Oryctolagus cuniculus: one gene and its partners. The protein of the gene in region 3 binds, or shares a complex with, the protein of the main gene of each other region. Links are inferred from orthologs where the notes say so. Each region holds a gene or a part of one and is shown on either strand. Other genes may lie near its edges. The genes, in order: ITGB8, NRROS, TGFB1, ITGB6, TGFBR2, ITGAV and TGFBR1.

Region 1 (3,500 bases), on a different chromosome or scaffold from region 3:
TTGCTTGAGGCAAACTTTCTAAATGGCTTGCAGAATTTACCTTAATGACTACACAAATGAAAGGGTTGAACAATCCATCCAGTTTACCAGGTGAAGAAGAAATCAAAACACTAGGTCTGCAAACAATGAAGCTATTCCGGTTTGGACAACAGTTTACAGTGTTTCTCATTAACATTCAGCCTTTAAAACCAGTATTCTAATAAAGTGACATTGTATTATTAGTTCTGTATGCAGTAGTAACTTAGCACTTATTCAGTCCAGTCATTTGTGACATATAAACTTATCCTGCAGGGGAGAAAAACAAACTACAAAGAGAAAGAGGAGAGAGTGTTAGAATTTGCAACCATCTTGAAAAAAAGAAAAGATCAACACACATGCATTAAACTATACAGTTTCAGAAGCAATATCCCTTAATATTAAGCTTTCATATGTTCACCTCTTGAATAAATGAGACACTAACCATTTATTCATCTAGTTGTTCTTGTCTACTCATTGCCAACAGTTGAAGTGTTGGGCAAAATTGGCCTAAAACATCCGGTGTAACTACCAGATGATATTTTTCGTCTGCATGGTCAATGCAGGGATCACTGTACCCTTGTGGTGGCACAATGCAACTCTCTCACAGCGTTGTCTCTCTCTCTCTGGGAAGCATAGGAATGGAAGGTACCTGTAAAGTGTAATCAGTGCTCTTCAGATGATCTACATTCTAGGTTGATCTAAATAAGTTATATATTACAGTAAAGTGCTACAATGACACTAGTCTCAAACAGTAGTAAGACATTTTTCTCTGAAAAATTCAGCAGCTATGTGAGTCACATGACGATGAGGATGCTTGGCAGTCTTCACTCGAATCCATCCAGCAACTGGCACAATCTGGAACAATCTGTCTCCTCCTGTGACTTTTAGAACTATCCTTTTTTAGGAGCAGTTATTGAAAAATCAGTTTCCCACAAAGTATTTTTTTAAATCTTTTTTTCTTAGAAGTTGCACCTGAAAGTTTCATGAGCATTTAATTTACTGATATCCAATTTTATCTCTTCAGGTTTCTCACGTCGGTAGGTCACTGCTCTTGTGCAAACACTCTGCAGAATCAGCTTATCCTTGACGGAGAAGAAATATTGTTGTTAGTTAAGGGCCTAAATAATGTAGCTAGACAATAATTACTGGCAGCATTTTTTTTTTAATTCACTGACCTTTTTTGAGGCTGACACTCTGTAATCTGAGGAGGACTTGATTTTACTGCTATTCCATTGTAGTATCACTTGTCTAATGATCAGGATTTTAAGCAACCCAATCAAGAACGTGACTATGAATATGATGAAAAAAATCCTCAAGTAGCTTGGGCTAGAGAAACACTCTGTAATAAAGTAAACAAATAAATGGATTAAAAATCAGTATGAGGAGATCAGAGGATGGTACCAAGCAACTTATGCTGAGAGCTCAATGAATAGGACCAGAGATATTTGCAAACCTATATTTTTAAAATAGGGGATTCACATGACATGATTGCTGGCTCAAAAAAGTATTCTCTCTAATTTTATTGCATATTTCTTATAAAAATATTTTCAATAGATAGCCTCCCTTAGGGGAATATCCATGCTAATGGGAGCCTCCCTTAGGGGAATATCCATGCTAATGGGATTCAATAACATTTTTTTTTGCAGCTTGATGCTTTAATTGTATTAACTGGAATGTGTCCAAATCCCTTAACCAAACATAATTTTATCCATGACAGAGAAAAGGACACTTTTTGTAGTGTTTACTGTTGATCACTAAGTGGAAAATAGGATTTTAAACAATTATCTAACAGCTCTGGGCATGAGCATATGTTTCCCTTATTATTTTGTTGCACACCAGTAATGGAAAATTAAGTAAACATCTACAGAATCTAAAATCGGTACTAGATGAACAAATATTTCCTCTGAAGTTGCAGTGTAGGTTTTCATTATTATTACACATGGCTTCTCCAGGAAATGGGAGTGTCCAGTTTGGGACACACTCAAATCTCTTCCTCAATTTTATTAATTTCTTTTTTTACTCGTCTGTTAGCTAAATCTACTCCATTTTCTACTAAAATTTCCACCCTATTTTTTTTCAAGGACAGATAATTTCCAGTTGGAGGGGAAAAAAGCAGCAGTGTGAAGAGCACGCTAGATCTCTGCTTCAGCACCAGGCCTTTGGCACAGCGTCCTTGGAAAGCGGACAGGCTTGGTTGCTGCCAGTGGTATTACTCTAATCGGAGGGGAACATGGTTGCACAATAGACAAGTATTCCAGGGAACTCAACAGCTGTCCCAGATTCAGAAAGTGACTTCCTGGCTAAAGAGGCATTTGTGCCTCTGCCCATTCTCCAGGCATGGGGAGGAGCCCTTGAACGTGAAGGGTCTCCAGGGAGGCGACTGGCCAAGGCCTGGGGTAGCACATCCCCAGTTTATAGGTGATCTGAGTTAGAACTCCCAGGGACCAGCACGTGGGGCTCTTGGATCCACCAAGAGCTCGGTGATGAGAGGCAAGGGGTGCTCTCTCCAGCTGGGAAGGCAGAGGAGCCTTCCTTCTGGTCGGCAATCAGTTAACTTGAAAGAATGGACAAAGGCAGAGGCCCCAGGGCTCCTACTGGAACGGAAACCCTAAATACCAGAGCACGTCTCCAGCCATGTCGGGGTGGACTCCAAGGCGCTCTCAAAATGGTGCCCTGGAGTCTTCCGCAGTGACTTGCGGGGTCACGACGCGCAGGATGCATTTTGTCATTTGCCTTGGCTGATTCCAGACCAGTCACCCAGCCAAGCAGATGCTCAGAGGGGGCACGTGGCTGGATTCCCCTCTCTGGCCTCCTGCCCGGTAGGAGCTTAGCCAGAGAGACCGAAAGAACACTCTTTAAGTGTGATTGAGCGGACGGATCTCAGAGGTGCCTAACAGAAGCCTTTTCCCCACTCCTTGCACAAGAGTTGTGACGAGGAGGGGATCTCCCTCGCAGCTGACACATTTTAGGGACGTTTCTAACAGGGTAGGGTAGAAGACATTTTCAGGGTGCAAATCCGCTACCTTTTCAACCGTTGCTAGGGGTGGTCAAACATTTTCCTCTGACCCATGCTTTTCTTAGTTTTGGTCAGGCCGGGGCTTTTCCTAAGAAGTTTTAGGCAATTTTTTTTATGGTAACAACAGCTAAATCAGGAGTGTTTACTGAACATTATAAATGACATGTTGATAGCGAGGGCCCTTTTATTAGAAAAGGCACTTGGCTTTCTGGAGTGATTGCTGTAGCCCCAGCTGGCAGCACATGGGTTCTGTTCAGAGCCAAATCCATTACGGGCTAAGACCAGTGTGGTTGCAAAGCAAAAGGGAGAGAAAGCTCTAGTGAAAGTTTGCTTCTGTGTTCCATCTCTGCAAGAGCTGCACTTTTTCTTACTGGCATGGTGGTGCTGGTGGTGGGGGCAGCCCTGAAATAGTAGATGCAATCGGAATGTTTCCAGTGAGGACACGATTTCAAGGTTTATTCTAATT
Region 2 (3,985 bases), on a different chromosome or scaffold from region 3:
AGCCCGTGTCTCAGCTGCCTGGTCCTCTCTCAGACCTCCCAGCGCCCCCACCATGACCCAGCCACCATGCAGGTAACCCTGACCCAGCAGGGGTCCCCTGCTGACCGCCAGTGCCTGTGCCATGCTGCATTTGACATTACAAACGAACGGCGCCCCTGAGTGTCTCAAGGTCGTCTCTGGGGTTGAGATAAAACGAGGGCCTCCTACTGTGCCACAAGGCCTACAGGAGCTCCCTTTAGCTATCTGTGTGTCTGTGTGTGTGTGTGTGTGTGTGTGTGTCTGTCTGTCTGTCTGTCTGCCTCTTGAGTAAACAATTTTTTTTAAATCATCACCTTAACTAACTGAGTGCCTCACAAATTGAGTACACACATTTATTCAAGGATGAAATTGAGAACAATGGTTTGGGGAAGAAAATGAATATAAAAAATGATACCAATGGGGCCAGTGCTGTGGCATAGCAGGTAAAGCTGCCGCCTGCAGTGCCAGCATGCCATATGGGTGCTGGTTCGAGTCCCAGCTGCTCTACTTCCGATCCAGCTCTCCAGTCTGGCCTGAGAAAGCAGTGGAAGATGGCCCAAGTCCTTGGGCCCCTGCACCTGTGGGAGACCCAGAGGAAGCTCTGGCTTCCGGCTTTGGATCAGTGCAACTCAGGCCATTGCAGCCATCTAGGGAGTGAACCAGCAGATGGAAGACCTCTCTCTCTCTCTCTCTGCCTCTGACTCTCTGTAACTCTGCCTTTCAAATAAATAAATAAATCTTTTATATAAAAAAAAGATACCAAAAGTAAAAGCCAAAACCAAAGAGACTGTAACCAGTTGTCAGTGATGCGCACTGAGCACCAGTGAGCAGGCACCTGTAAGCGTCTCACCCACAAGCTCAGCCTGAGCAGGCTGGGAAGCTGAGCCTCCCTAACTCAACGGACCCGAGTATTGGGTGAGGCACGTGGAGCTGCCCGTGCAAGAGGGTCGCCTCTGCTTTGTGATGCAGGTGCCCACTGCAGCCAGCGTGCAGGGCACCGCCAGTACGAGCACTGTTCTTTGCAGAGTCAGGACCAGAGACAGCCCAGCGCACTGCTAACCCATACGCCAGAAGCCAGACACGGCCAGCCTGCTCTCTGTTTAGGAAGCTCCTGCACTTGGATGACAGGCTTCGGGAGGCTCGGGCTCAAGTGCACAGGGGTCTTCACCAAGTTCCCAGGAGGGGACCCATTTGATGAAAGCACTTTTCTTGGCAAAGCTGTGTTTTTGTTTATTTGAAAGCCATAAAGAAACAGAGAGGGAGATCATCCATATGCCGGTTCATTCCCCAAATGCCTGCAACAGGTGGAGCTGGGTCCTCCAGTCAGGAGCCTGAAACCCCACCTGGGTCTGCCACGGCCAAGTATTCGAGCCAGCACCTGCTCCTCCCAGGACACACATTAACAGGAAGCTGGGATCGGAAAGAACTGAACCCAGGTCCTCTGAGGTAGGATATGGGCGTCCTGAGAGGCAGCCTCACCTCGGTGCCAAACACTTGAGCCTGGAGTTTTGGGTTTAACTTACAGACGGGAGTTGGGATTTTTTTTCCTGGGCCCACAATCCTGGAGTCCCAGGAGCTCAGGGTTTCATGTACGGATCTGTGGGCTGTGTGAGGAAGATAAGCACGCCTCAGAACCACAACGCCAAGGAAACCACCAGCATCCCTGGCCACAGGGGTGCGTCTCAGCCTCAGCAGGGAAGGAAGGAGGAGCACAGGGAATCGGGGAGGGTCAGCTGCGCACACTCTACTGCACAGTCCTCCTGCGTCCCACCCCCACCACAGGTGCCTTCCTCCCTCGCTGTGTCCTAGGCCCCATTCCTGCCACCAGCCTCAGCCTCCTGCAGGGCCAGCCACCATCAGCCAGGCACGTGTCCACCTCCTCTGGGGGCAAAGTGGAGCTGCCAGCCCCCTCCGAGGCAGCAGAGGGCAGCAGGAGCCACGTCTGTGCATCCTTACATCTCCTGGGTCCATGGGGGATGTATGTCGCCCCTACACAACCCAGCCTGCACCCAGAGGCCAGGAGGGCCACAGAAGAGCACTGGACAAGGAGTCGGAAGGGCTGAGTTCTAGTCCCCCTTTGACACTTACTAGCTGGGGTCCCAAGGAACAGAGCCTGCTGAATCCCAGCACGCCCCCCCCCCCCCCACACAAATGCTCTGTGGGGGAGGGGTTCTGCCAACAGTCACAGCGGCATCCCCAGGGCCTGGCACGTGGAGGATATTGGTGGGTAAGGGTGGTGTCAGGAGGGTCTCATCTGTGAACTGGTGACCCTCCATACAGGTGCGGGGTAGGGCTAGGAAGGGAGAGCCAAGCCGTCGCTTGTTCCCACTTTGCAGATGAGAAAACTGAGGTTCAGAAACGTTTTCTGACCTGCTCACCTTCTCCCCCCCCCCCCCCCAGACCACGAATCAAAGTCACGACTGATGCTGAGGCCCCGACTGTTGCCACTGCACCACCCCACCTTTCTAGCCCTAAGCGCTCCTACAGGGAGTTGTTCCCACCCAAGCCAGCGGGGCCAAGCTGGGACAGAGCGAGCCGCAACTTCCCGCTTGGCTCCGTGCTGTCGGCCAGGGCGCCAACCTCCCACTGCCCAGCCTCCCGGCGCGCCCACCTCCCGGAGGCCCCCGCGCGGGAAATACTCACGGCTCCCGCAGGCCCAGGCGGCTCCGCGGGGCGCATCCTCTCCAGGGGCTCCCGCCTCCTCGAGAGCAGCCAAACGCGGGGCTGGGTTGCCTCCTCTCTGGGGCATCGGATTATTTTAGCACTTGCGGAAGGAACGGACGGAAACTGAAGTCACATGGAGCTCGAGCTGCAGCTCAACGACTCAGCAGCGCTCAGCGTCCCCAGGAGGGAACTGCCCCCTGCGGCGTGGGGGCTGGGACTCGCCCTTGCAGCACCTGCCCAGCCCGCCAAGGAGCCCCCAGCAGACTAAGCGGGCTCCCCGAGGGTTCTTGTCTTGGTTGTTCTTAGGGGATGCCCCTGGGGGCCCTTGCCTTCTAGGGCTGTCTGCCTGGAAATGCATTTCCCAAATTATGTCCAAAGAGCGTGTTGAGGCAGATTTGGGAAGTGGGCAGCTCAGGGATCTTCCAGTTATAGAAGGGGAGAGTCCTTCCCCTTCAGCCCAGTCTTTTTTTTTTTTTTTTTTTTTTTTTAAGATTTATTTTATTTATTTGAAAGAGTTACAAAGAAAGGTAGAGACAGAGAAAGAGAGGTCCTCCATCCACTGGTTCACTCCCCAGACGGCCGCGACAGCCAGAGCTGTGCCGATCTGAAGCCAGGAGCCAGGAGCTTCTTTCAAGTCTCCCACGTGGGTGCAGGGGACCAAGGACTTGGGCCATCTTGCTCTGCTTTCCCAGGCCACAGCAGAGAGCTGGATCGGAAGAGGAGCAGCCAGGACTCGATCCGGCGCCCATGTGGGATACCAGCGCTTCAGGCAAGGGTGTTAACCCACGGAGCCACAGCCCCGGCCCCTCAGCCCAGTCTTTAATAATGGTCTCCTTTTATGGGCCCAGTGCCAAGCTATGAAAAAAAAGGAAAAGAAAAATGAATGAAAGAAAGGAAGGGGAGTTGCGTTGTTCTGGGCGTTGGAGAGTGCCCCGAGCTTCCTGATCATCGGCTGCATGAATGGGTGGGCTTTTAAAACATTTTTATTTGTACTGTTTATCTTTTTAGAGAGAGAGCGCGCACACTCCCATCCACTGGTTCACTCTCCAATTATCTTCTATGGCCAAAACGGTGCCGGCAGAAGCTGGGAGCTGACACAATCCATGCCTTCTGGCGTGGATCCAGTTGCTTGAACCAACACCTACTACCTCCCAGGGTGCACGTTAGCAGGAAGCTGGAATCAGGAACCAGAATTGGGTGTGGAACCCAAGTACTCTAACATGGGGTGGGAGCGAGAGTGGGAGGGGGAAAGGGTGACTTCCAGGCTAAATGCCCACTCTGTTCTGTTTTGTTTTTTTCTTTT
Region 3 (4,140 bases):
ACACAGGAATAGGAGGGCCACGATGGACACACCCGCGGAGACACGCGAGTTTAGGGAAGAGGACGTGGCCTCCTCAGGAGAAACTCAGTGAACTAATTCACACCGCGGGCGAAGGAGAAAGCGGAAGCGAGGCCAGATGGACCAGTGGGTGGGGAAGGGGCGCCTTTGGACTACAGCTGCACATCAGGCGCGGGCGCGAGCCAGGGACCCCCAAGCCCACCGCACAGGACATAAAGTGAAACCTGGGGATTCACCCCAAGTCCCCAGGCCACGAGGCAGCCTGGGTCCCCGCGTGGGCGCCGACGGGGCGGGCCCACAGGCACCCCTCCCACAGCTGGGGGGAGAGGGGCGGGACGCGCCGCTGCCGCGAGGGCGGAGACAGACCTGCCTCGTCTCGCCCCAGGCTCCGCGCGCGATCCCCGCCCCCGGGCCACGGGAAGGAAAGGGAAGGGAGGAGGGGTGGCGGCCGGACGCTGGGGTTTCCCCAGCCTCCCCGGAGGAACTGCAACTCCGGGGTCCGCAGTGCCGGCCTTCAGCCCTGCGGGGTCCTCCTTCCTCTTCGGGAAAAGCGAGCTCCTCCCCGCCGCGCGTGGCACCCATGTGGGGCAGCCTCACCCCCACCTGCTCACTTTTTTCACCTGGGCCTCGCACGGGCGCCCCCGCCCAGACCTCCCCCCAACCGCTCCACTCCTCGTCCGGCCCCTCCCATCCCACAGCGAGCGGGTTTCGCGGCTCAGCGCCCAGAGCACCGCCACCTCCCCTCTGCCCCATCCCAACACACCTTTCCCACGCCCCTCCCCTCTCCGGAAGCCCCTTCCCCGACTCAGGAGTCCTGGTTCCTGGGATTCCCTGCTCTGTGCCTTCACTCCGGCTGCAAGCACGCGCGACCCTCTGCACGCACCCTGGGCACGCGCTCCGGGTCTCCGCTCCTCTCCCGTCAGCCTCCTCCTCCCACCGCCGGCCTCGCGTCCCATGCCCGCACCCGTCACGCAGACCACCGCCTCTTTGCCACGACCCCTGCAGTCCTGCGTGTCCTGTGCGCCCTGGAAGCAGGTCCACGCTCCTGGCACTTTGCTGCTGTTCGCTTTTGCTCCTTCCGTCTTTCTGTTTCGTGACCCCCAATTCTGCCCAGCTTTCTCATTGGCTCCCTTACCCACAAACTAGGGGCTCAGCCTCTACCCACAGAGCACCCCTCTCTGCAGCTCCCACCCCGCGACCCCCGCATTCCACGGGCCCTGCGGAGGGAACGGCTTCTACCCCATTGCCTGTGTCCCCCGGGACCTCCCTCGCCCCCGCGGGTCCCGTGCACTTGGCGCACTGTTCCAGGACCAGTCCCTGAGGGTCGGGGAGCTCAGCGCCCTCGTCTTTAGGACACGCCCTCCCCCACGTTCCCTGTGCACCCAGGGGTCCCCTTCCTCCCGCTGTGTCCTCCGCGGGTAATTTCCTCCCTGACCCCTGCGCTCCGGCGCCCCCTGGGGGCCCCCTCCCGGGTCCCCGTCCCTCGGAGCTCACTGTTGTTGCTGTCCACCATTAGCACGCGGGTGACCTCCTTGGCGTAGTAGTCGGCCTCGGGCTCCGGCTCCGGCTCGGCGCTCTCCCCGGCCACCCGGTCGCGGGTGCTGTTGTACAGGGCGAGCACGGCCTCGGGAAGCGGACCGGGCGGCACCTCCCCCTGGCTCGGGGGACTGGCGAGCCGCAGTTTGGACAGGATCTGGCCGCGGATGGCCTCGATGCGCTTCCGCTTCACCAGCTCCATGTCGATGGTCTTGCAGGTGGACAGTCCCGCGGCCGGCCGGCCGGGCGTCAACACTAGGAGCCACAGCAGCGGCAGCAGCAGCAGCGGCAGAAGCAGCCGTAGCCCGGAGGGCGGCATGGGGGAGGCGGCGCACCCCGGCACTGCCGAGAGCGCGAACAGGGCTGGGGTGGGATGGGGAGGCCCCGCCCCTGAAGGGGCTGAGGGTCTCCCGGGGTAAGGGAGGAGGGTCTCAGGGAAAAGTTGAGGCCCTCAGGAAGACAGAAGCAGGGGTGGAGGGGAGGCTGTGGCCAGGGTGTCTCGGTATCCCACGAAAGAAACGGAGACAGGCGAGTTCTACTACCAGAAGGTGGGTGGTCTTGAGTAGGGGAGCTGGAGCAGGGCTGAGACCCGTCCCCAGAGGAGGGAAGGTCCTAGGATGCTCGGGGTTCAGGAGACGGGCAGAAGGTGAGCCTGAGGCTGGGGCAAAGCCTTCGCGGGAGAAAGGGTCCGAGGCTCGGAGGGCTGGTCCGGAACGGGGGTCGCTGTGTAGGAGGCAGCGAGGGAGCAAGCGTCCGAGGCGGTGAGGAAAGGGGCGGCCTGGGGTCCCCAAGTCCTGCCTCCCCCTGGGCCAGCGCCGCGCCAAGCGGTCCCCGAGCCTCCGGCTCCCAGCCGCAGCGGAAAAGTCTCAAAACTTTTTTCCTCTTCTCCCAACCAGCTCGTCCCTCCTCCCGCTCCTCCTCCCCCTCCTCCCCGCAGTGGCGGCGGCGGCGGCGGCGGCGGCGGCGGCGGCGGCGGCGGGGGCGGCTCTTCTCAGACTGTGGCCTCGGGCTGCTCCTCGGCGGCTCCTTCCTCCGCTCAGCTGCGCTCGGGGCCCAGGCTCTGCCCGCGGGCAGCTCCGAGCCGGGGGGGTGCCCCGGAGGGGGCGTCCCCCCTGCCCCCGGTCGGGGGCCTCGCTGTCTGGCGGATCCGCGGCGGGAGGAGGGAGGGGGACGGACCGGGGCGCGAAGGGCGGCGTCGGCGGGGACCGGCCAGGGCGGCGGGGGGTTTTGAAGCCGCCCCGGCCCCACCCAGGAAGCGCGTGGGGCGGGGGAAGCCTCCAGGGGGCAGGGCGGGCGAGCGGACGGGCGGGCCACCGTCCTGATCTCGAGTGGGCGGGCTCCGAGGGGGGTCCCTTCTGCCCTGGGGGGGCGGGCACCCGGCTCCGCCCCGCGAACGGGAAAGGGGTGCTGCCTCCTGGCGGCTGAGTGCTACCAAAGCGGTGCCTGAGATGCACCATCACAGTGGGGCCATGCGCGGTGAGAGACCTGGCAGGGAGGGGACACTGGGAGGGGGGGACTAGGGCGAGGGGTGTCTCAGAACTGGAAGGGTGAGGGGCTAGGGCACAGGATGGGGGCCCGAGGAAAGAGGGCAGCAGGTGAGGGGGGCACAAGAAGGGGGTCACGAAGGCACTGGTACCTATAAGTTGCACCCACCTTTATTGAACCCTGCCCGGGTGCTAAGTAGCCCCTTCTCACCCAACCCCCGGGTGCTGGCATCCTTCCTGCCCCATTTTACAGAGACAGAAACTGGGCAGCAAGGGGCAGTTACAGGCCTGGAGGTCCTGGCAAGGACCGAAGTCGTCCCATGCCTTGGCTGCAGACAAGTCTCTGGGGCCCCCGATGCTGACCTCCGCGCCATCCTGACCCTCGCTGGCCGCGCAGGGGTGTGGATGCCGGTGACAGCTCGGGCAGAGCCTCAGCACTCAACACCGTAGCGGTCGAAGTGGCGCAGCAGCAGGCCAAGCTCCAGGTGCACAGTGCCACCCGCGGCTGTGTGCAGGCGGTAGCGGTCAGCCCCGCTGTAGATGGTGTCCCCGTGCAGCAGCTGCGGCCCACCGCCCACAAAGACCCGCGCCAGCTGCTCCCGCCAGCTGCCCAGGGGCCGCCACGTGGGGCACTGCAGCTGGTGGGTCCCGGGGCTGCTGGGCACATGGCAAAAGCCATAGCCTTCAAGCTGGCAGCGGCCAAAGCCATCCTGGGACCACACCTGGAGATGGAGCCGGGGCCAACCTGGAGGAAAGGAGGAGGGGAAAGGAAGGTGCGTTGGGCCCAGACTCCTGCTTCTAGATCGCCCCTCCCGGACACCCACTGGAGACCGTAGGCCAGACACTTTGCTCCCTGGGGTTCTGCCTCAGCCCCCTCTCTGAACCCCATCTCTGATCCATGTCCATGCAGCAGTTAAAGGGGTCTTTCTACATCTCTTACTTCTCTGCTCAAAACCCTTCCACTGTTCCGGGGTGCCCACGGTATAAAGTCCAACCTCCTCAACGTTCCAGATCCGACACGGGCTGGCTTCCCTCTGTGTGGCTGCCTCCTACGTGCCCCGTGGAGGGGCAGCCCACTGCTCCTCCAGTTCTAGGTGAGCAC
Region 4 (3,500 bases), on a different chromosome or scaffold from region 3:
GGTGGGAAGAGAACTGATATGGGTTTGGAAATACACTCCATAAATCAGCAAGTAAACCTCTGAGTGAGAGGGAAGAGGAGTGGTCTCAAGTGGGCCAGATCCTAAATGTTTCAGTCAGTAAGGGAGGAAAAGGCAGATTTTGCTCAGAAGAGCCTACACTTTCGCACAGCCACAGCGGTAGTGAGGAAGTGAAATGGCATCAACTGGCGCTCAGAAGGCGTGCAGTTCTTTGACGCTTCGTTCTCTCATGTCTTTCTTTTCTGAAAATTAGACTCTTTTCTATATTCTTGATGCTGGCTTGAAAACACGACCCGCTGAGTTTTTCTATAAAGATAATGGCTTTCTGGTTTTGAAGATCTGTTTGCTTTCGGACTGAAAAACAGAGATACTACAGCTTAGATTTGGCAGTTATTATTGCCATTGTAGCACAAATTTCTATCATTTAAAAGTATATTGGGGCCTGTGCTGTGGCCTAGCGGGCACAGCCGCCACCTGCAGTGCTGGCATCCCATATAGGCACCAGTTTGAGTCTTGGCTGCTCCCCTTCTGATCCAGCTCTCTGCTATGGCCTGGGAAAGCAGTAGAGGATGGCCCAAGTCCTTGGGCCCCTGCAACCATGTGGGAAACCAGGAAGAAGCTCCTGGCTCTTGGCTTCGGATTGGTGCAGCTCCGGCCATTGCGGCCATATGGGGAGAGGACCAGCAGATAGAAGACCTCTCTCTCTCTCTCTCTCTTTCTCTTTCTCTCTCTGCCTCTGCCTCTCTGTAATTCTGCCTTTCAAATAAATAAATTTTAAAAAGTATATTCACATACACATAATAATTGCCTGAAAGGTTATACTTAAATATATATTTCTACATACCAGAATGATTATACATCATGTTATATGTAATATGAGAGTGCCTCAGAAAGTTAATGGAAAATGTGTATTATGAAAAAACTAAAAATTTGTTGCCCCTTAAATTCTTTTAATTTAGCATTTCTATGAACTTTTTGAGCTTTGCTTGTGTATTCTTAAACTACAGTGACTTTACCTGTACAGAGACTATTAAAACATAAATATTCCTATTTTTAAGTTTTTCAAATTTCTCCAGAAATTCCAGGTAGCTTTTCATTTCATGCTTTCCATTGGCTGCTTTCCACTTGTCCTCACCCATCTTTCTTACACCCCTAGCCTGGTGTCTGTCACTTGGCAGGTGCTTAGTAAATATCTCTGCAGTGAATGAAGGCCTTCAAAGTCCACTGCGTAATTCTGTGCTCCTTGACCTTGGCAGCATTACCTGTTTAGTGATCTAGCTTTTTATTTTTCCAAAGTAATAGGCATTTAAGAATTGGGGCATTCAGCGGCTTGATCCAGAGAGGTCTAGAAGGTAATGGAGTTAAGATTACAGGCATTTCTTCAAGGTTTGGGGGGATGGCTAGGGAGAAGACACTGCCATCTTTTACTTACTTTTAGGGAAATTATAATAGAAATATAAATTCAGTTGATTGAGATTTTACCCCAGGTAAATGTTAGAGTTAGGAAAACAACAACAACAAAGCAAGATTCAGTAACCTCAGCCTAAACATGAAGTCACTCAATTGATAAACAAATGTTTCCTGAGCACCTGCTATGCCCAGGAAACTGCAGACAGAGCGAAGGACGCCAAGCCCCTGCCTGATATAGAGTGAGACGTGGTATAGCCTACCTCCACAGAGCAGTCCTTTGTGTCTCACGCAGGAGAAATTGTCACACTGACAGAACGGCCCGTAAATGTTTCCATAGGGAGACAAGTGGCAGACGCACTGCCCGCAGTAGCAGTCACCCCTGCCGCTGCACGAGGGCTGCCCGGGGGCCTCTCTGCAGGAGTCCGTGCTCAGCATGTCCTCGCCACACTCGCAGCGAGGACCCATGTGGCCTGGGTGGCAGGCACACACTCCACACTGGAAGGAGCCGTTGCCATCGTGGCATTTGGAGCTGTTTACTTCCACTTCTTGCTGACAGTCACAGCTGCACTGGGGACTGATGAGGATTTCCAGGGTGTCTCCCAGGCCCACGGGCTTTATGACAATGTGCTGGCTTCTCTTCTCGCAGTTGGCTACGCTCACGGTCACGTTGAAGGAAGCCTGTGAGAGAACATAGGAACGATCTGCTTCCTCCAGCCACCAGCAGACAAGAGGTGAAACCAGGCTGCAAGCTTTGCATCCATCAGCTTTGTAAAAGAGATGCTCCTTAGATCTTTTAAAGCCTTGAAAGAATACAAAGCTTCAGTGAGCTCTGCCAAGTTCTCACCCCCTGGCCTATTTATTTCAGGTCTTTGGGCTCTCTACTTACTGTGTCTCCGACCTTCATGTGCGAGCATTTCTTTTGGTGTGGGAAGAGGGTGCTGTTACAGATGGCTGTGAATGACAAGTTGAGTCCTTCCGTGTCTCCTAATACTTCCAGTTCCACTTCTGACCGAAGTTCCTTTAGTTAAGGCACAGAGAGTTAGATGAAGTCACAACCATAACATACAGCCAGAAGAAGGAACTGTGAATCATCTTCATTAAACTAAAAATGAATAAAATTAAATAGGGTCTGAAATAAATTCATCATGTCATTACTCAAGCAAGAAAGTGAGCAATCAATATATTTCATATTTTATCAAATCGAAGATGCCATCAATTATAAGATTTGCTATTATTTTATGACAATTAAATTATGACAGATACCTGGAGACAGTTCTGCACAATATATGAAATATACCCATCAGTCTAAAACAATTTAGCTTTGAAAATTATTTTATCCATTTTGAGGGATTTGGCAAATTCTCCTCCCCTGAGTTGCACGGCTTGGCATATAAAAGGCAGTTTTTTTTTTTTTTTTTTTTTTGCTTATATCTCAGTGATAAATAAAACATCTTACTTTACTTGTAAGTATTACCATTTCTTGGGTCCCATAACACAGCTGGCTGTTGCTTTGGAAGGACTGCAGAATGGCAGTAATTCCTTCAACAGTGAATATCTCCTCACTGGTATCAAATTAACACCCTGCTGCTCTGTGTCGGGACATTTCTGCATACATCACTTTTCATTTGAATATAGAATTGTGGCAGACACTTTTTGAATCCATTAAACTTAACACGTGTTCAACAAATGGAAGTGACGACAATCACATTGTCAAAGAAAGCTCCATCATGCCTGCCACCTGGCAGACGGTGCTTGTGAGGCACTGCTAACTCCAAGCTGGATCCTAGTTCTACAGATGTCGAAATGTGGGTGGAAGCTGTTGGAATGTATTTAGTACCTTTTGTTCATTTAGTTTAGAGTCAGTTCTGGGGAAATAATAAGACCGGATTTCTTCCCTCAGGAAAAAAAAAAAAAAAAAAGCTGATCATCTTACTTTTTACTCTCCTTTGTTCACTTACAAAATAAAAGTATATTTTAGGGGGACACAACCAAATTAATATAAAAAATAAGTTAGAATAATATTAAGTTATATTTCAATTCATTCAAAAAGTTTTGAAAATGCTGTTGGCATG
Region 5 (3,500 bases), on a different chromosome or scaffold from region 3:
GGAAAGACCGGGGAGGGAATGGCCCTGGCTGCAAACAGAAACATTTTCGCTCTAGAACCAAGGGTCCTTGTTTACAAAATGTGACAAACAACCTTCCGACGGATACTGATGAGCCCTCCTTGGGTGCTGCCTACTCCCCTGCTTGCTGGAACTTAGAGTAAATACCAGGGTCATCCACTTTATTGGTTTTCTTTATAAACAGAACCTTCTCCGGTCCCGGAACACACAGGGACCCACCCCGAGATTTAAGTCCCATCTCCCAGAATTCTCTCCCACCTAAGGGGCTGGTGAGCATGCTGTGTTACTGTATAACATAGGACAGGGTATGTATGTGACGTCAGTCACTGCTTAGACACTGCACCAGCCGCTGCCCCTCCATTTATTTCCAACCACTTTGGCTGCAGCAGCAGCTGTGCTGGGTGCTCCTCTAGCGTCCCCTTGACCTAGCCAGGAACACCAGATCCCGCCCCAGCAGTCACGCCTTACCTGGTGGTTAAGCCAGAAGCTGGGGATTTCTGGTCGACCTCGATCTCGCAGCACATTGTCTTTCATGCTCTCCACACAGGGGTGCTCCCGCACCTTGGAACCAAACGGAGGCTCGTAATCTTTGACCTCTGTGAAGACAGCAAACACAGGGCCACTGAGAACAGGACATGCAGCTGCAGGAGACACGTGTGTGGGGAAAGGTGACAAGGCAGCATGTGCACCCCAGGACAGAGCAAGGACCGTCCTGAAGGGTGTGCGCTTTTGCCTTCTTGTGCACGAGCATCTAGTCCATACAACTCTTGGGTAAGAGTTGGTTTTTCACTTCCTCAATGGCCCCAATGGCCAGGGCCGGGCCAGGCTGAAGCCAGGAACCAGGAGCTTTTTTGGGACTTCCATGTGGGTGCAGAGGCCCAAAGACCCAGGCCATCTTCTGCTGCTTTCCCAGGTGCATTAGCAGGGAGCTCGATTGGAAGTGGAGCAGCTGGGACTCTAACTAGCACCACCATGGGATGCTGGCACTGCAGATGGCAGCTTAACCTGCTGTGCCACAGTGCTAGCCCTGGAGAGTGGAATTTCGATCTGCGTAACACTTCTGTGTCACCTTCATCCCCACCCCCTTCCATCCCCATCTTCAGCCGAACTATAAATTCCCAAGGCCCAAGGCAGTGGCTGAGGTTTGTGTCTTTCAGTTCCTTGCTCAGTGCCCAGACTGTGCCTTATACGTAGTGGGCATTCCATAGACAGGAGTTGGTTGCAATCCAAGCAAAAGTAGAAAACTGGGAATGCGAGCTGGCTCCCAGTCCGGGTTTACTCTGACCTACTTCCCAGGTATAAAATGCATGATGTGACCCTGCGTGACCCTCCTGTCAACCCCCCAACCCCAGATTTATCTTGTAATCCAATTTAATCCAATAATGCGATAGTGGTATGCCTTGAGGAATGTGTGCTATAATACACTAGGATAGAAGAGGGTTTACATGTGATATAAATGGTCCCTTAGACAGAGCACCAGCCAAGAGCACCAGGCCCCAGCTGCTGCGGGCATTGGGTCAAAAGGACACACACCTTCACCTTTCCTGGGGGGACTGCCCTTGGCTGATGGGAACTGCCTGTCCTAGAGATTCCTGGCCGTGTCGGCCTTATCCCAGGAGCAGCCAATAACAGACAAATCCTCTTGGTGGAGCGATTCTGGTGCAATTCCTGGCCAGCGCTGCCCGTGAGACCAGGCCGAGGGGAGACCTCTCCCAAAACTCGAGTCCGCTGACCTTCCTCCCTGCCCTCTCCTGCGAGTTCTTCCTCAATGAATCATTGCACCAAGATCACTGTGCCAGGTTCCAAGACAGCTGCCAAGAAGGTGCCTTCTCCTTCTTCCCAGGTCCACCCACTCTGGTCACAAAGCCACAGGAGGAAGTCCTTTCTTGAGACGCTGCAAGTCTTAAGCTGGACAAGCACCCAGGGATGGCACCCAGCATCAGAGTGCAGGTGGAGTCCCAGCTGCTCTGCCTGCAATGCCACTCCCTGCTAACGCACCTGGGAAAGCAGCAAAGGTGGTCCAAGTCCTGGGGCCCCAGCCACCCATGGGGAAGACCCAGATGGAGTTCCTGGCTCCTGGCTTGAGCCTGGCCCGGTCCTGGTTGTTGTGACCATTTGGGGATTGAACCAGAGGATGCACGATCTTTCTCCCTCTCTGTAACTCTTTCAAATAAATAAAGAGATCTTAAAGAAGAGAGGGGGAGGATATGACCAATGGCAAGGAAAGACAATACCAAGATCAGAGTCAACCCCACAATGAATCTCACATAGGACACACAACTCAAATTGTACCTAGGGGCCAGTTTCCCTCATTTCAAGTCCTAATCTTCAACTTGACATAAGCCCAGCACTTATTTTAATTTTGTAAGTTCTCCATGAACCATAGCAAGTTTCCATGGAGCATGGGAGAGGACAGCCCAGGGTATACTGTTGTTGAAAGACAAAGCAGTGACTGCTCCGGTGAGAGAAAAGACAAACTCAGGGATCTTTTTCCAGAGCAAAGAGATTGGTAGCCGGGCCACTTCCTACTTTCATAAAATCCTGGGAAGTTGTGAGATTCCCCTACCGTCCCCAGGGGTCCCAGGGCTGCCTCCCATCTTTGACTTGCGGGAGTTTCCACAGGGAAGAGAGGTCAAGGACAGTGGGAAGGGCACACCAGGGAGACCAATGGATCTCCCTCCTCCTTCCAAATGTCAGACAGACAAGTCTGGAGGCAGCAGCGTCGGAGCCCAGCGGGCAGGCGCCACCCCGGCAGGGAGGCTGTCTTTCAGACCAGGCGTGGGGTGGGGTTGGGAAGTGTGTGCAGGTTTTAAGCTGACCTCTCTTCAACCCCTAGGGAATCTCTATTTATATAGCTTCCAAAGCAACTAAATACATGTTGACTTTTTATTTTTACCATGGATTTTTGCAATTTTTCTTTTTTGTCCTTCTCTTGAATTTTGCATAGCCTACACCCACCACTATTTTCTTTTTTCTCATGCCCCATAATGTGCAGCAAGAGCACCTAACGCCCACCTGTGTGTGTGCCTTTGCCGTTCGGTCAGCAGCTTTGCCACTGGGTTGTGGCTGTTGCACAGTGGTGCTTGTTTTTCCTTTTGTGACTATGTAGTCCAGGTCATTCTCAGGGCCCCATGAGGACCTGGACGATGACCACGACAGATGTTATGATGGAGGCCGTTCCCTCTGACGGCCTTGGTTCTTCTACATATTTGCTTTGCAGCAACAGAAGGGCATGGCCCAGGGTTCAAGGTGGAGGCCTGAACCCTGACAGAGGAGGTTAGAGGACAGGAAGCCTCCCAGCCTGATGGGTACCCAGGGTCCTTCTGAGGGGAGAACTCATGTACTGGAACTGAAGAGTCTCGGGTCGGGAGCAGTGCTGGGGACAATCAGTGAGGCGCTGGCCAAGGCTTTTGCTACTCTGGCTTCCTCCCAGGGCTCCAGGCAGCTAGCGGCTGAAGAAGGCTCAGTCCACTTTGGCAAAA
Region 6 (3,500 bases), on a different chromosome or scaffold from region 3:
GAGCCTCGATCCATGAAGAGAGGTGCTCCAATAAACACGTCTGCATAACTGAGAGACAGAACTCCTCACCAAAGCAAGATCAAATTCCATCTGTTATTAATACACATTTTCTTTCTTATTAAAACTCAGTTTCCCCTTTTCCACATCTCTCACAGGTACATGGAAGCACAAAACGATGACCATAGTAGCCATTTCAAATTCAAAGCTTCTTTTAACTCTTTTAAGAAATTATGAAACCATAAAATTTTCATGCTATAAAAACTATTAAAAAAATATGACCAACAGAGGTTTTCCATGTTTGTGTCAGGTTGCTTCAAATTGCTTCCTTAAATAGATTAGCAGAAAGGGAACAGAGAAACAAAAGCAAAACTGCTTAGTTTTAGTAAATAATTCACAAACATGAGAGCAAAACTGTTTCTGGAAAAATTTTTTAAAACTTACTCATCTCCATTAATGTCAGTGGCAGCTACAGAAAATCCAAAATATGCAGCCATCTGGATAACAAGATGAAAATGAAATGTTTATATTTCATCCAAATACTTTAGGCAATTAACAATTACAATATATCTAGCAAATAGAAATGGTTATTTTTTTCTATATACAGTGCTTCAATTTAAAAGTCTTCTCTTTTGTTTATTCTAGCAACACCACAACAATCAGGTAATGAGGCTTGCTAATTTGCAAGTAAAATACATTCTAGGTATAACATTTCAATGTTTAAATTCCATTTACTTGTATTCCAAGTATAATCAACTCTCCTTCCTATGCCTAACAATCGCTCCCTTTCTCCCCATTCCCTGACAAAAGGCACACACAGGCATACTAACAGAAAGACACAGTCACAAACATTTTAATTGGACCCAAGAAGTTATAAGTGGATGCCTATTCAGAAAGGACAATAGTTAATAATTATTGATAACAGAAAATAACTGGCTCTCCCTTTGTGAAACAACTATTCTTTAGAAGTTATTGTTTGGAAAGACACAAACAGGAGTTCATTCTTGTCTCACATCTCAATCAATTATTTGCCAGATGGCTTTGTTTCTTAATTACACACACACTACAAATATGTTTGGATTTATTATGAAGTTATTATGCACAGGGAGAAGAAATTTCCTCTCCTCCACCACAGGAGACCACTGGCTACCACAGACAGCTGGGGGCAGGAGTGGGGGTGGGAATGGGAGAAAAGGAAGTTCTAAAGAGAGCCCAACAGGCAAAACAAAGCTAGAAGAGATGACAGACTAAAGATAAACTAAGGTGAGTCAACAAATGAGTGAATGAGTCAGCAAAGCAAAGAAGGAAAGTTACGGATGCTTCTTTTTTTTTTTTTAAGCTTTAATTCAATGAATGCAAATTTCATAGGTACAACTTTAGGAATAGGGATGCTTCTGAATCTTGATTAGTTGAATATATATTCAGAGGGGATGATAAGGGAGATTCCTACCTTATCTATTTTGGCTTGATACAGTGTAGTTGAGAAAACAAAACACACATTCGCTATTCAATGATAAGATCAGAATTTGTGTACTGAAGTGTACTATGTTTGGGGTACCATGTTGATGTGCTGACTACAATATGCCAAAATAATATTCTTGAACCTTATTCTGTCAGAGTGTTTGTCCTGAAAGGGTAAAGAAAGTATGGCATTTACTGAGAACAACTTCTGTCCTGAGCACCATGATGGATCCTCACGGCTACCCCATGAGAACGTTAGCAGCATCCCTATGTTTACCAATGAGGAATCAGAATCATAGTGGCAAACACTTTGTCCAAAGCAATAATAAACAGCACAGAGCCCAGGTCTGTCCTCATCTAAGCCTTGCACTTCCCCAACGATAGCTGAAGATGAAAATAAGGAAACTTCAAAGAGTTTATGAAAAACAATGAGTTAAAAAGTAAGTTCATTTTGGTTCAAAACATAATGGGAACCCATGCACAGCTTTTTCACAATAGGTGTTTTTCAGCAATGTTTTGGAAACAGCTCACAAAGCAAGCATCACCGCCCACTTGCAACAGGATCCAGACACAACCATGGACACTGGATAGAAATGAAACAGCACAAAAGGATAACCATGCCTCCAGCAATCCCAATTGCCTGTGGATTATGCATTACTTCATGTGGAGCAACAATCCTGAAGCTGGTCCCCATACTATGGATCCTCTCAAAGCCCAACAATCTCTACTGACAAGAAATGGGCTTGAATACCAAATCTGCAAACCGTGAGGTATTTTTCCTACACTGACTGTTTAATTTTCCTTTGTGATTATCATTATTTAATTCTCTGAGACATGCAAGGAGTCTTCAAAAAGCTATGGAAAAATATGTATTGTGATAAAACTATGCATGCATTTCTAAATTATTTTGTACCAAAATAAATTTATCCTTTAATTTCAGTTTTCCACAAACTTTTTGAAGTACTCTTATACATTACAGATTAAAAAATACCTGTGTTGAACATGATATATAGTACTTAAAAGTACTACTCTTTAACTCTAAAATGTCTTACTTCACATAATACCAGCAAAGTTTATTTATAATATATATGCAAGTACTTTAAAAACTGTGAAAAATGAAATTAAAGGATAACATGCATTGTTCCATGAACTTTTTGAAGACCCTCCTATACATAATACACACATATGATACAATGGTTATTTTCCAAATCCTCCATCTTGTTGCAAATGACAGGGTTTCGTTGTTTTTGACTGCTGTATAGTATTCTATAGAGCACATGTCCCATAATTTCTTTATCCAGTCTACGTTGATGGGCATTTGGGTTGGTTCCAGGTCTTAGCTATTGCGAATTGAGCTGCAATAAACATTTATGTGCAGACAGCTTGTTTGTTTGCCAATTTCGTTTCCTTTGGGTAAATTCCAAGGAGTGGGATGGCTGGGTTGTATGGTAGGGTTATCTTCAGGTTTCTGAGGAATCTCCAGACTGACTTCCATAGTGGCTTAACCAATTTGCATTCCCACCAACAGTGGGTTAGTGTCCCTTTTTCCCCACATCCTCGCCAGCATCTATTGTTGGTAGATTTCTGAATGTGAGCCATTCTAACCAGGGTGAGGTGAAACCTCATTGTGGTTTTGATTTGCATTTCCCTGATTGCTAGTGATCTTGAACATTTTTTCATGTGTCTGTTGGCCATTTGGATTTCCTCTTTTGAAAAATGTCTACTGAGGTCCTTGGCCCATCTCTTAAGTGGGTTGTTTGTTTTGATGTTGTGGAATTTCTTGATCTCTTTGTAGATTCTGGTTATCAACCCTTTATCAGTTGCATAGTTTGCAAATATATTTTCCCATTCTGTCGGTTGTCTCTTCACTTTCCTGACTGTTTCTTTTGCAGTTCAGAAACTTCTCAATTTGATGCAATCCCAAATGTTAATTTTGGCTTTGACTGCCTGTGCTTCTGGGGTGTTTTCCAAGAAGTCATTGCCGGTACCTATATCTTACAAGGTTTTTCCAATGCTCTCTAATAATTTGATGGTGTCAGGTC
Region 7 (3,500 bases), on a different chromosome or scaffold from region 3:
CGGAGCCGGCACTGTGGTACAGTGGGTAAAGCCGCTGCCTGCATGCCTGCATCCCATATGGGTGCCGGTGCAAGTCCTGGCTGCTCCATTTCTGATCCAGCTCTCTGCTATGGCCTGGGAAAGCTGTACAAGACGGCCTAAGTCCTTGGGCCCCTGCACCCACATGGTAGACCCAGAAGAAGCTCCTGGCTTCAGATCTGTGCAGCTCTGGCCATTGTGGCCAGTTGAACAGTGAACTAGCAGATGGAAGACCGACCTCTCTCTCTCTCTGCCTCTCCTTCTCTCTCTGTATTAACTCTTTCAAATAAATAAATAAATCTTTAAAAAACAAAATAAACAAAAATAAAGCCTGTGCATGCAGCGGGTGCTCAGGCTGCAAACGTCCTATTCCCTGTCCAGCACTTACCACATCACTCTGGGCTTGTCTGGCTGAAGGGAAACAGTGACTGACAAGGCCGATGCCTAAGCTCACTGGGCGGACCTAAACAACCTTGGACTCACTAATGGCCACTGCAAGTGCTCCAGGGCCCTTTCAGTGTGTTGTGGAAAGCAAATTGCTTCATTTTTATCTACTGCATAAAGTGCTATGAAAAGGAAAGAAAAAAGAGAATTCTTGTCCATTTTCCTTAAGAAAAAGTAGCTAATTTTCACTTTGCAACTAAGCAAATGCAGTTCAGAAATTTGCCTAGTATCAAAAAGAAATACTCACTTCACAGCTCTGCCATCTGTTTGGAATATTTGGCCTTAACTTCTGTTCACAAACAACTTTTCTCATTTCTTCAACTGATGGATCAGAAGGTACAAGATCATAATAAGGCAGCTGGTAATCCTCATGAATTCCTAGATTGGTTAAAAAAAATACAAACTATTTTGAAAAATTTATTCAGCTAATGCCAAACCATTAAAAGGATCACCCAAAGGGCCTATTACAGTGCCCAGGACTCACAGCTTTCTCTGCTCCACATCTGCATCAACAAGCTCCGCCCCTGCCCGTCTGTTCTGGGCTCACATCATGAAACTCAACACTGCCATGAGATCAGCACGGGCTTTTTTCAATGATGGTTAACTATGAGCTGTGATAACCAGATTGCCATTTTCGCCTAGAAGGCTACTGTGCAGCAAATGAGATTTTCTATTCTAGCCTCTCATTCAGTACACATGTGTGCTCAGCTGAGGATGTGAATCCTACAGAGTGCCAGTCCCTTTGTCGGCATGCAACTGTCAACTACAAGTCCTATTTGCCACTATACAGAGCCTCTGTCCCTCGCTGCCTCAAAAACCTGAGTCTATAGCTCTCGATCAATCCTGGGCTCCAAGTCTAACAGACTGCTTCTCGGTAAATACTACAAAGTGCTCAATCTGAAACGAAACTTAAAAGTCAGAACAAATGTACTGAAAGTCACGGGATGGAATGATGATGTCACTGTTTTCTGTATATGTAGTCTACAGCTATCAAGTTGGAGAAAATAACCACAATCTCAAGGGAAAAAAATGTATCATCCAGGTACATGTTAAAATAACTTCCTAGCCAGCCTCTCAACCAGCGGTCTGTGACACATAAGTCTATCCCAGTGTAACAAGGAATCGGCTTCTGATGCTTGCCAAGATTCAAATGGAAACAGGAAAAGAATTCACTAAAATAAAGCTGTACAATCTGTATGTCATGTCATTCCCCCTTTGTTTTCTCTGGCACTCTCAGTGATCACCTGTTTCAGACTGTAGACACATTATATATAATTCAATAGGAAAGAATGTAATTCTTCAACAAGTTCTGCTCATGACAAACTGCTGGGAAAGAAGAGAGCAATTTACCACCAATGGAACATCGTCGAGCAATTTCCCAGAATACTAAGCCCATTGCATAGATGTCAGCACGTTTGAAGGATTCAAAATGCTTCATATTTATGGAATCATCTAGAACTTCAGGAGCCATGTACCTAAAAAAGAAGTCAATGTTTTATTTTACTGAATGGCGGCCACATTATTTTTAACTGTTCCATAAACTTTATTTCTCCACACAGAACATACATAGGCATATACAGAGTATTACATAGTTGAGAGATTAGACTAAAAAAATTCAATACACAAACTGATGTGTAAATTGATGATGCCAATTAAATCCCATGAAATGCTGAAACAGCAGTTTCACACTGTCTGCCCATCTAACAACTACAGAGCAGGTGTGTAGCACAGCAGGTAAGCTGCCACTTGGATACCTGTACCCACATCAGAGTGCCTGGGACTGAATCCCCACCTCTGTTTCCAATCCAACCAGTTTCCTGCTAATGTATCTGGGAGGCAGATGATAATATAAGTACTTGGGGAGGCCAGCTCTGTGGCTCAGTGGGTAAAGCCACTGCCTGCAGTGCCGGCATCCCATATGGGCGCTGATTTGAGTCCTGGCTGCTCCACTTCTGATCTAACTCTCTGCTATGGCCTGGGAAAGCAGTGGAAGATGGCCCAAGTCCTTATGTCTTTGCACCTGCATGAGAGACCCGGAAGAAGTGCCTGGCTTCTAAATGGCCTAGCTCCGGCCACTGTGGCCATATGGGGAGTAAACCAGCAGATGGAAGACCTCTCTCTCTGTCTCTGCCTCTGCCTCTCTGTGACTCTGACTTTCAAATAAATAAATAAATCTTTTTTTAAAAAAATACAAATATTTGGGCTTCTGCCACTGAAATGGAGACTCAGATAAATTTCCTGGCTCTTGGCTTCTGCCTAGCTCAGCCCTGGCTGCTGTAGCCATTTGAGGAATGAACCAGTGGATGGAAAATCTTTCTCTTTCAGTCACTTTTTTTTTTTCCTCAAAGTATTTATTTATTTGAGAGGTAGAGCCACAGACAGTGAGAGAAAGAGACAGAGAGAAAGGTATTCCTTCTGTTGGTTCACTCCCCAAATGGCCGCAACGGTCAGAGCTGCGCCAATTTGGAGCCAGGAGCCAGGAGCTTCTTCCTGGTCTCCCATGTGGGTGCAGGGGCCTAAGGACTTGGGCCATCTTCTACTGCTTTCCCAGGCCATAGCAGAGAGCTGGATTGGAAGAGGAGCAGCCGGGACTAGAACCAGTGCCCATATGGGAAGTTGGTGCCACAGGTAGAGGCACCAACTGTGCCAGGGAGCCAGCCCCAGTCACTCTTCTAAATAATAATCTTTTTTTTTTTTTAAGATTTTAAACCAACTTTTTAAAGATTTTAACCTACTGTGCCACAGCACCAGCCCCAATCCCTCTTCTAAATAATAATTGTTTTTAAGATTTATTTATTTGAAAGTTAGAGTTACAGAGAGTGAGAGGAGAGGGAGAGACAGAGAGAAAGGTCTTCCTTCTGTTGGTTCACTCCTCAAAAGGCCGCAACAGCTGGAGCTACGCCAATCTGAAGCCAGGAGCCAGGAGCTTCTTCCCAGTCTCCCATGTGGGTATAGGGGCCCAAGGACTTGGGCTATCTTCTACTGCTTTCCCAGGCCATAGCAGAAAGCTGGATTGGAAGAGGAATAGCCGGGACTAG

Evidence for each region.
Region 1: the proteins of TGFB1 (region 3) and ITGB8 are in contact, whole or in part, in a cryo-EM structure (PDB 7Y1T), measured with the Homo sapiens proteins. The link is inferred for Oryctolagus cuniculus from reciprocal best matches to the Homo sapiens genes TGFB1 and ITGB8. Residues at the interface, in NP_000651.3 of Homo sapiens: His117, Thr241, Arg243, Arg244, Gly245, Asp246, Leu247, Thr249, Ile250, His251, Gly252, Met253; in NP_002205.1 of Homo sapiens: Ser156, Ala157, Ser158, His160, Asn161, Asp213, Tyr214, Asn215, Leu216, Gly248, Asn249, Ile250, Asp251, Thr252, Glu254, Gln286.
Region 2: the proteins of TGFB1 (region 3) and NRROS are in contact, whole or in part, in a cryo-EM structure (PDB 7Y1R), measured with the Homo sapiens proteins. The link is inferred for Oryctolagus cuniculus from reciprocal best matches to the Homo sapiens genes TGFB1 and NRROS. Residues at the interface, in NP_000651.3 of Homo sapiens: Leu30, Ser31, Thr32, Cys33, Thr35; in NP_940967.1 of Homo sapiens: Phe194, Glu195, Ile196, Glu197, Gly198, Gly199, Phe201, Leu210, Leu212, Pro218, Cys219, Ile220, Val221, Asp222, Phe223, Gly224, Leu225.
Region 4: the proteins of TGFB1 (region 3) and ITGB6 are in contact, whole or in part, in a crystal structure (PDB 5FFO), measured with the Homo sapiens proteins. The link is inferred for Oryctolagus cuniculus from reciprocal best matches to the Homo sapiens genes TGFB1 and ITGB6. Residues at the interface, in NP_000651.3 of Homo sapiens: Pro70, Gly71, Pro72, Glu75, Leu158, Asn237, Gly245, Asp246, Leu247, Thr249, Ile250, His251, Met253, Asn254; in NP_000879.2 of Homo sapiens: Ser142, Ala143, Ser144, Asp146, Asp147, Pro196, Cys197, Ser199, Ile200, Pro201, Tyr202, Lys228, Lys231, Ile232, Ser233, Ala234, Asn235, Ile236, Asp237, Thr238, Glu240.
Region 5: the proteins of TGFB1 (region 3) and TGFBR2 are in contact, whole or in part, in a cryo-EM structure (PDB 9FKP), measured with the Homo sapiens proteins. The link is inferred for Oryctolagus cuniculus from reciprocal best matches to the Homo sapiens genes TGFB1 and TGFBR2. Residues at the interface, in NP_000651.3 of Homo sapiens: Arg303, Lys309, Trp310, His312, Tyr368, Tyr369, Val370, Gly371, Arg372, Lys373; in NP_003233.4 of Homo sapiens: Phe47, Leu50, Phe53, Asp55, Ser72, Ile73, Thr74, Ser75, Ile76, Cys77, Glu78, Val100, Asp141, Glu142.
Region 6: the proteins of TGFB1 (region 3) and ITGAV are in contact, whole or in part, in a crystal structure (PDB 5FFO), measured with the Homo sapiens proteins. The link is inferred for Oryctolagus cuniculus from reciprocal best matches to the Homo sapiens genes TGFB1 and ITGAV. Residues at the interface, in NP_000651.3 of Homo sapiens: Gly242, Arg243, Arg244, Gly245; in NP_002201.2 of Homo sapiens: Asp178, Asp180, Phe207, Tyr208, Gln210, Ala245, Asp248.
Region 7: the proteins of TGFB1 (region 3) and TGFBR1 are in contact, whole or in part, in a crystal structure (PDB 3KFD), measured with the Homo sapiens proteins. The link is inferred for Oryctolagus cuniculus from reciprocal best matches to the Homo sapiens genes TGFB1 and TGFBR1. Residues at the interface, in NP_000651.3 of Homo sapiens: Ala279, Leu280, Asp281, Asn283, Tyr284, Tyr328, Ile329, Trp330, Gln335, Lys338; in NP_004603.1 of Homo sapiens: His39, Leu40, Thr42, Lys43, Phe55, Asn68, Met70, Ile78, Phe84, Val85.

Annotation. Positions count from the first base shown.
Region 1 is NC_091447.1:12,475,257-12,478,756, reverse strand, and holds part of ITGB8 (integrin beta-8), read right to left. Parts: intron 1,358-3,500; coding exon 1,194-1,357; intron 1,101-1,193; coding exon 978-1,100; 3' UTR 1-977. UniProt on the Homo sapiens protein: Integrin alpha-V:beta-8 (ITGAV:ITGB8) is a receptor for fibronectin. It recognizes the sequence R-G-D in its ligands.
Region 2 is NC_091435.1:83,139,592-83,143,576, reverse strand, and holds the start of NRROS (transforming growth factor beta activator LRRC33), read right to left. Parts: upstream 2,801-3,985; 5' UTR 2,662-2,800; intron 1-2,661. UniProt on the Homo sapiens protein: Key regulator of transforming growth factor beta-1 (TGFB1) specifically required for microglia function in the nervous system.
Region 3 is NC_091449.1:13,277,410-13,281,549, reverse strand, and holds the start of TGFB1 (transforming growth factor beta-1 proprotein), read right to left. Parts: upstream 2,801-4,140; 5' UTR 1,874-2,800; coding exon 1,513-1,873; intron 1-1,512. Other genes in the region: B9D2 (B9 domain-containing protein 2), read right to left, coding at 3,470-3,783. UniProt on the Homo sapiens protein: Transforming growth factor beta-1 proprotein: Precursor of the Latency-associated peptide (LAP) and Transforming growth factor beta-1 (TGF-beta-1) chains, which constitute the regulatory and active subunit of TGF-beta-1, respectively.
Region 4 is NC_091434.1:81,824,706-81,828,205, reverse strand, and holds part of ITGB6 (integrin beta-6), read right to left. Parts: intron 2,447-3,500; coding exon 2,315-2,446; intron 2,107-2,314; coding exon 1,689-2,106; intron 1-1,688. UniProt on the Homo sapiens protein: Integrin alpha-V:beta-6 (ITGAV:ITGB6) is a receptor for fibronectin and cytotactin. It recognizes the sequence R-G-D in its ligands. Internalization of integrin alpha-V/beta-6 via clathrin-mediated endocytosis promotes carcinoma cell invasion.
Region 5 is NC_091435.1:167,303,405-167,306,904, reverse strand, and holds part of TGFBR2 (TGF-beta receptor type-2), read right to left. Parts: intron 615-3,500; coding exon 487-614; intron 1-486. UniProt on the Homo sapiens protein: Transmembrane serine/threonine kinase forming with the TGF-beta type I serine/threonine kinase receptor, TGFBR1, the non-promiscuous receptor for the TGF-beta cytokines TGFB1, TGFB2 and TGFB3.
Region 6 is NC_091434.1:53,699,071-53,702,570, forward strand, and holds part of ITGAV (integrin alpha-V), read right to left. Parts: intron 495-3,500; coding exon 442-494; intron 49-441; coding exon 1-48.
Region 7 is NC_091432.1:202,804,750-202,808,249, reverse strand, and holds part of TGFBR1 (TGF-beta receptor type-1), read right to left. Parts: intron 1,938-3,500; coding exon 1,813-1,937; intron 841-1,812; coding exon 710-840; intron 1-709. UniProt on the Homo sapiens protein: Transmembrane serine/threonine kinase forming with the TGF-beta type II serine/threonine kinase receptor, TGFBR2, the non-promiscuous receptor for the TGF-beta cytokines TGFB1, TGFB2 and TGFB3.